Oryctolagus cuniculus: one gene and its partner. The protein of the gene in region 1 interacts with the protein of each later gene in a pairwise test. Links are inferred from orthologs where the notes say so. Each region holds a gene or a part of one and is shown on either strand. Other genes may lie near its edges.

Region 1 (3,908 bases):
GCACCTGTGCGCCGAGCCGCTGCACTGAGGAAGACCCCACTCCGGGCGAACCCCGGGCTTGAAGCCACGGACACCCAGCCTCCCGGCCGCGGGTTCGCGCAGGCGGGGGCTGCAGCTGCCCACTCGGACCACCGCAGTAGCCTGCAGCGGCGGGAGCGCACAGCCCCCTCAGAGCTGCCCACTGCGCTCCGGCCCCCGGGGATCCTCGCCCCGCGGAGGCGCAGCTGCGGGCAGAGCGTGGTACGGAGTTGGGTGCCCGATTCGCCTCGCCTGCTCGTCTCTTCTCCGCCCAGGATTTATTGTCTGTGGAGCCTTCTGGGGGTGGGGAAGGAGCTGCGCCTCCGCCACCGCCACCGCCGCCGCCGCCGCTGCCGCTGCTGCTGCGGTCGCTAGCGCGGCGCGCAGGGCAGGCGGAGGCTGGGGAGTGGACGCGCTCCTGCCTCCCCCGCCGGCGCTTCGGGCTTCCCCTCGGCGCTTCCCGCGGGAACCTCTCCAGCCGTCCACCTGAAGGGCACCGGCACCATGGTCTAACGTGGCACCTGCCTGGAATCCCCTCTTTCTCCTCCTCGTCCTCCTCCTCCCCTCTCCTCCTCCTCCTGCGAGGACCCTCGCGCCCACTCCACTGCGGACCACCGAGCACTTTAAGGAATAATCCTTGGCAGCTGCACCTCTCTCGCTCTCCGGAACCTCATGGGCAGTTTCTCCCACCGGCCATGTGAGTAAGGCACTTTCTCTCGGTGACTGAGGGGACTGCGGGGGTCTCCCCGGAGGTGAGGGTCTCCCTCCCCCCCGGGGGGGGCGGGGGCGGGAGGGCGCGAGGCTGGGGCGCTCGTTCCGAGTAGCTCGCACGGTGGCCGCGGAGGCGGCGGCGGGGATGTGGTAGGTTTCAGGGCTTTTGGAAATTGGGTGCTAACTGGGCGGGTGCACGGGAACACCGAGTGGTCTGGGCTGGCGAGAGACCCTAAAGGGTTACATACTGCGAAAAGGAGAGGTAAAGAGCGAACGTTGGGAGCTGGTGCTGGGACCACTGCTCCAGCTGAGGTTTGGCTAAAGCTCCTCTTCGTTATCTTGGGCATCTCGGTTTGCTTTTGCCAGGAGGTGTCTGAGGGATGAAGCGCGTGTTTAATCTCTCTCTCTCTCTCTCTCTCTCTCTCTCACACACACACACACACACACACACTTGTGGCAGGTTGCACTTGTCCCTTTATTGTGGAAGGTGTTGGATGACTGTCTTAATTCGTATGGATTTGACAAATGCAGTTAGGAGATCTTTATGCCATTGGGGTTCGGTGGGAAAGGGTGGGGTTTGTGGGGATGGAGTGGAGGAAGGACCATGACAGGCTGGGGGACAGAGAGAAGTGGGGTGGCGGTAGGGTGAACGCTTTCCCTGGGAGTCAGGGAGAATGATGGCCCCCTCCGCTGAGCTACACAACTCCTGCCTGCACATCTCCTTTGTGTTGCACTGAGAAGCTGGTGAACCTGCACTATTCCCCATCCAGCCGGGGCCCCCTTCAGCATTTTGCATCCTCCTTTCTGAGGCGTTTAGGATGCAGGACTTGGTTCGGATCCTACGAGGAAAGAAGAAGGGAAGCACATTAGCATTAAGGTGATCCTGGCACCCTGGCTCGCGGGCAGTTAGATTGGCTACTGGCGGTCTGCAGTTTTACTGTTTGCGGAGTCAAGAACAGGGGCGGCGGGTAGGGGGTGCATGGATTGCTTTTAAAGACAGTGTGACTTCATAATAGACGAGATGGCTGCAAAATTGCTTCATTACACTACTTCTCGGCCATCAGGGCTGAATAAAGGACCCGCCTCCGCCCTCTCCTCCCTTTCCTCTCTCGCAGCCTCCTCCCCACCAAGGCACAAAGGGAACGAATTGGGGAGGGGGGGCGGGGGCGGGAGCGCGCAGCGGGAGGCGGAGAAGGGAAGGGGTCACTTTCACAACTCCCGGGAATGGGCTTCAGAAAGGAACCATCTGCGACTCCCACGTTCCTTTCGGAGTTCTCCTTCCAAAAGCGAGGGGGGTGGGGTGGGATGGGTGACACACGGGGGTCTTCCACCTGCTCTTTTCGGTTACTTTCCCAATACACCTTGGACATACCGAATTTACTTGCAGGGGTAACTGGGTCAGCAGGTAAATATACGTACCTGTATACGTTGAAATGTAGCCCTCGTGATGGATGAAAAGCAGTTTGTGTGTGAGCAAAATTTCTAAGCACAATAGAGATTTTATAGCGTGGGCGAGAAGAGTGCATTCCAGCGAAAGCAGGACACGTGATCCCTCCAACGGGAGAGATACAGTGTTAGGAACTCGGTTTTCTTTGTTCCAGGCTGAGCCTATGAGATGCTTAGCATCCCGGCTGCTTAAGTCGTTCTATAAAAGGGCAAAATAGTCAAGTTGGCCAGAGGTGAGAATAAAGGGGGAAAAGATCATGCGTAAATCGATAAGCTGTGAAGGGCTTGAAACCTCCTCTGCCATTTCTTTTTTACTGCCCACCTTCTGTCTAACCCCTCCCCCCAGCCGGCCCCCTATTTAAAAATCAGGCATTTCCAATGGGAAAGCGGTGGAAAAGTTCTCCAGCCCCTTCACACGTGGGCTCTTCAGCGCCTCAGAACCTGCCTGGATTCCAAACAGAACTTACCACCTCTCCAGTCCCAGTGTCACGCCTCTATCCTGGGCTTCATTAATCTGACTTCCGGATTCTAAGGGAACCACCAGGAGATCTTTTTTGCAAAAGACAGTATGATACTCAAGTCCCTGCCTCCTGGAAACCCCTGATCCCAGCTAGGAAAGAATGAGAAAGTAGGGATGTAGGAATGTTTATTTTTCCTTAGGAATATCAAGACAAAAGCATACTGGAGGTGTGTTTAGCAAGGACTGCATTTGGACTCCTGTGTTATCTGAGGGCTGTGAAATGTCCTACGGTCTGGTTATTCATTAATTTAGTGGAGTTAGAACCTACTGCCTACCCAACACTAATTTAGAGTGACCTGACTTGGAGATTTCTTGTATCATCTTTACTCCACTTTTTATAAGCCATCTTAATGGGCTGAAGTTTTTTAAACTGTGGGCTATTTCTGTCTCCTACTTCATTGCATCATACTAACTTGTGTGGTAAGGAAAGCAGAATCAATTTCCATAACATATCATGAGAACTCCTTATACATTTTTTAAACATTTGACTGTCCAAGAAAAGATGCGTACTTAACCATGGCAACCGTTACGTTCTCCATCACTTATGCTTGCACATATGCAGCTTCAGAATTAGAAACAACTTCCTAAGGAAACAGATCTGGTCCAATTACAGTAGCCATGTTTTATTCAGAATTTTAGCATAGCTTTAGGCTGACATTAACATTTTCTTAATTAAAATCTAATTCTACTTTCTTTCACGAGCTTTTAATTTTTTTAATTCCTCTGTAAAATATAGAACATAGACCTAAAGTATTGTTGTGTTTGAATTTATGCTTTGGATTTTTTTTAAAAATGGAAAGATACAAATTAATATGAATCCTTATTTCTTAATAGAGTTATTAACCATATTATCTACCTGGTGTTAATTTTTCGGGATATTTCTCAGCCCTTCTTTCAATACATAATATTGTATGATACTATTTGATGTAAAAACCTAATATCTTTAACCATGACTTAAAGCATATACTTTTTAACAACACTTGGAAACTTCAGACACATTAGATTTTAATAGATATATCAAAATTATATCTATTGATATTACAATTCTATTTTCTGAAAGACTTTGTTCTCATTTTAAAGGGGATCACACATTCTATAATATTATAATTGCATTCCAGAGTCAACCAAGTACACAAAGAGTAAACAACTATTGATAAATTATCATTGGAATTATTTATGGATTCTCATTAAATTTTCCATATTAACAAATTAT
Region 2 (3,908 bases), on another chromosome or scaffold:
GCAGCAGGTGATGATTGGAGTGCCTGGGAGACCAGGACGGAGTGCCTGGGAGACCAGGATGGAGTGCCTGGCCTCTGGCTTTGGGCTGGCCCAACTCTGGCTATTGTAGGCATTTGGGAAGTGGACCAGTAGATGGAGGATTTCTCTATATGTCTCTTTCTGTCTCTCTGCCTTTCAAATAAAATAGAACAAACTCTAAGAAGAATAGGGATTTATGTGGCTCATGGTCCTGGAGGCAGGGAGGTCCCAGGTTGAAGTGCCACATCTGAGGAGCACTGTCTCCCTGGTTGGGGTGGGGGGTGGCTCTGGGAAACCCAGAGGAGCACACACTGAGAGGGACACATATGAAAGACAAGGAGCAAACTGGGCTTCGGAACAGGCCGGCTCTCGAGATAAGCCAGTAACTCATGAATCCATGCGTCCGTTCATGGCACAGCCCTAGTCACTGCTGCGAGCGTCCACCTGGCCCCACCTTTTTTTTTTTTTTTAACTATTTATTTACTTGAAAGGCAGAGGGAGGGAGGAGAGGGGAGAGAGAGAGAGAGAATATCCTCCATCTGCTGGTTCACTCCCCAAATGGCTGCACCTGGGACTGTCTGAAGCCAGGAGCTTCCTCCAGGTCTCCCACGTGGGTGCAGGGGCCCAAGCACTTGGGCCATCTGCCACTGCCTTTCCCAGGCACCTTAGCAGGGAGCTGGCTCAGAAGTGGGGCAGCTGGGACTCAAACTAGAGCACGTACAGATGCAATGCCAGCAGCACAGGCGGCGGCTTTTCCTCGCTACATCATGGCACCAGCCCCTGGCCCCACCTCCTAACACCCCACAGTGGGAAATAACTTCAGCCTGATTTTTAGCGAGGACATTCAGACTCCAGCACCAACCTAGCTGAAGTAGGATCCCTAGCTCCTAAGCAAGAAAGTGCCTGTCCAGTGAGCCCTACGGACAGAGCAAGTGGGCTGGGTGAGGGGCTGGAGCATCAGGTCACCCTCTGACTCCTGCACCCCAGAACACGTTCTCTTTCCCCGTAATACACTGGCTCTCCCACAATATCACGCCCTCTTACACCCTAATGCACACGCTCTCTCAATCCTGAACACACACCGTCTCGTACCCCCTACTGTCTTCTCCAAAGGCAACACGGGATCTTCACAGGGACTGCTGGGGTTCCCACACTCCCAGCTTTCCAAGCAAACGGACAACACAGTCCTTTCGCTCATTTGCAGGCTGTAGTAACTTCACTGGAGGCCCCAGCAGGCGTGGGTGAAGTGGGGACGCATCCGTCCCGAATACAGCTTTCTTTTCCTTTTCACATTCTGACTGAACAAAAGTGAACTGCTGGCCTTGTGACTCATTATAGAGTGTCAGTTCAATTCCACGGGTAGATAATGCTTGTTGGAAAATTCCAGAAACGCCTTGAGCTAGCCGGCTAGAGTTGCAGAGTAACCTGACCCGCCCCAGTCAGCAGGACGGCAGAGAAATGGTTGAGACTGCAGATCCCAGGTAAAGAGGGATAGGGAGGAAGCGTGGGCTCCTAGCGGAAACAGCCAGGCTTCTATCCAGCCGGGCGCCACCAAGCGGCCCTGGCGTGCCTGGACGGCCGCCTCCCCGGGCCCTTCCGTGATTGACACATGGCTGAAGCTGTGTCCCCAGTGTAAGGTTTGGTCTCCTTTCCTTTCTGGGAGAAGCTGGGAGTTCAGGCAGTAGCCTGCTTAGCCTGCCGCCTCCCCTGGCTACTCGCAGCCTGAGTAAACCTCTCTCCGTTTCTTTCACCCGAGTTCTTATCCTCGGAGTTACTGGATTCTCTCTCTTGGGTTGGACAGGGCACCAGTGACCCACTGGCCGTGCTGTGTCTGTTTCCTTCAGACTTGCACTGAGCAAGGAATGACACCAGGTGCTGGCAATGCGAAGCCTGAAGACCCCCGCGTGTGCTGGAATGGTGCTAAGTGCGAAGGCAGGGAACAGGAGAAGTAGCGGGGGGGGGGGGGGGGGTCAAGGACGCTGTCCCGGGGGCTCTGACAGCTGAGCCCAGGTCTGCAGAAGTTACGCTGAGGAGCTTTCTTTCATCATGCAGATAGTGGGAGCTGGGTAGCCACGTGGCAGAGCCACATCTTAGCAAGCCTGCTGTGCCACACTGCCACAGTGTGGACACGGGTGGGAGCGAGACCCAAGGCGAGGAGCACCAGGCCAGCAGCTGTAAAAAGGGAGAAGACACAGGACATGGGGATTGCTGGGAGAGAGTGTGAGGAGGGAGGAATCCCGCGTGACGCTTAGGGGACTGCCCTGCACCAGCTGGGACCACAAGCAAGACAGGGAGAACGGGGACGCTCCGTGTCTCCCCAGCCCCAGACTGGTCCCGGCGTGCGGTGCCTGCTGGCAGCGGACAGAGGAGGCGGGGTTCAAAGAGTTGGCCCGGGGCCCCTGGACAAGTGGAGGAAGCGACAGGGTGAGTCACCGAGGGTGGCCACGGGGTTCTGGGCAGAGCAGGGGGGCAGTTCCGGGAAGGGCTCTCATGGGCAGGCGGCTGAGCTAGACCGAGAGAGAGGACAGGGTCCGCACTAAAAGCAGCTGGGATCCCCGGGCCTCCCACGAGGCCCGCGCTGGGTGGCCGGGCCCCAGGCACAGCCCTAGCCTGAGCGAGAGCGCTGCAGCAAGACTGCGGGATCCCTCACCCACTCCGGGGGCGTCGTTTCCTCCCGCTAACCCCGTGGCGCTAGCCGCGCCCCGGGCCCGCCTGGCAGGAGCCGGCTGCTCTGAGGTCACCGCCCCACTGCGCCCAGCAGGTTTCACCGGGAGGAGGGGCTGCGACCCTGGGGATGAGGCTGGGGCTGTGTCTGGGGGCCGGCCTAGAAAGGGTCGCCGGGGGCCCAGGCCGGAGAGAGGAGGGCCAGGGGACGCCTAGTACCTGCCCAGGAGGCCGGGCTCCCAGTGTCTGCCACAGCGCCCTCTTGACTTGATTCAGCACTAGCCTCCGCCTGTAGTTCCGCTCGCTCCTCGGTTTCCAGTTTCCAGCAGAGGGGGCCGCCGCACTTGGCAGTCGCCGGGGAGCGCGCGGCGCGTCTTCCGCCGGGAACAGGAGCAGGGTCCGGCCCCGCGAGGAGCAGGGACCCGCGCTGCATCCGTGCACGCCCAGGTCCACGTACGTGCTGGGCCTGGCACTGTCCGCGGAAACCACCGCGAAGGCCACGCTCACGCACGTGGACCGGTCGTACCCGCCCAGGTCACAACGAGACGGGCGGCGTGCGTGGTCGGCGCTCAGCAAGTCCAGCAGCCCCGCGTTCTGCTGGCGCTCCAACGTTTGGTTAGATGTTGGAGACCCTACCCATACCCTAGAGCGCTTCTACAACGCATTCCCAAGTAAGCCCCAGATGTCAGTTCCCCGAGTGCAACCGCAACGTGGTTCACATTCTCCTAGATCTCAAAACCCTGCTCCGTGCGTCTTAAGAGGTTTGGGCTGGCCAGTCACTACAACTGTTCTCAAAGAAGTCAAGATCTAAATGATTGATAAGGCAGAATGATAGGGAGGGAGGGGCACCATCTTCCATCCGCTGGTTCACTCTCCGAGTGGCCACAACGGCAGGAGCTGGTCCGGCAGCGGCCAGGATGCTGGGAAGCCATCCCCTGTCCGGGGTGGGTGGCAGGGGCTGGTCCGGCAGCGGCCAGGATGCTGGGAAGCCATCCCCTGTCCGGGTGGGTGGCAGGGGTCCAAGCACTTGGCCATCACTGCCTTCTTGGGCCTGCTAACAGCTGGATGGGAAGTGGAGCAGCAGGAACGACCGCGCTGGCACACGGATGCCTGGCACGGGCAGCAGGCTCTCTCCCTGCGCGGCAGTGCCGGAGCCCATCTTCCTGGCAGCTCCCTCTGGGTCCCGGGCTGAGCGCCCTGGGGTGGGGTGCCGGGAGCACTCCCCC

The links.
Region 2: the proteins of LRRC7 (region 1) and NQO2 interact in a two-hybrid assay, tested with the Homo sapiens proteins (2 studies listed by BioGRID). The two-hybrid records come from large-scale screens. The link is inferred for Oryctolagus cuniculus from reciprocal best matches to the Homo sapiens genes LRRC7 and NQO2.

Annotation. Positions count from the first base shown.
Region 1 is NC_091438.1:102,839,609-102,843,516, reverse strand, and holds the start of LRRC7 (leucine-rich repeat-containing protein 7), read left to right. Parts: upstream 1-1,360; 5' UTR 1,361-1,547; coding exon 1,548-1,606; intron 1,607-3,908.
Region 2 is NC_091436.1:167,062,838-167,066,745, reverse strand, and holds the start of NQO2 (ribosyldihydronicotinamide dehydrogenase [quinone]), read left to right. Parts: upstream 1-1,437; 5' UTR 1,438-1,499; intron 1,500-2,087; exon of another isoform or gene 2,088-2,442; intron 2,443-3,908. UniProt on the Homo sapiens protein: The enzyme apparently serves as a quinone reductase in connection with conjugation reactions of hydroquinones involved in detoxification pathways as well as in biosynthetic processes such as the vitamin K-dependent gamma-carboxylation of glutamate residues in prothrombin synthesis.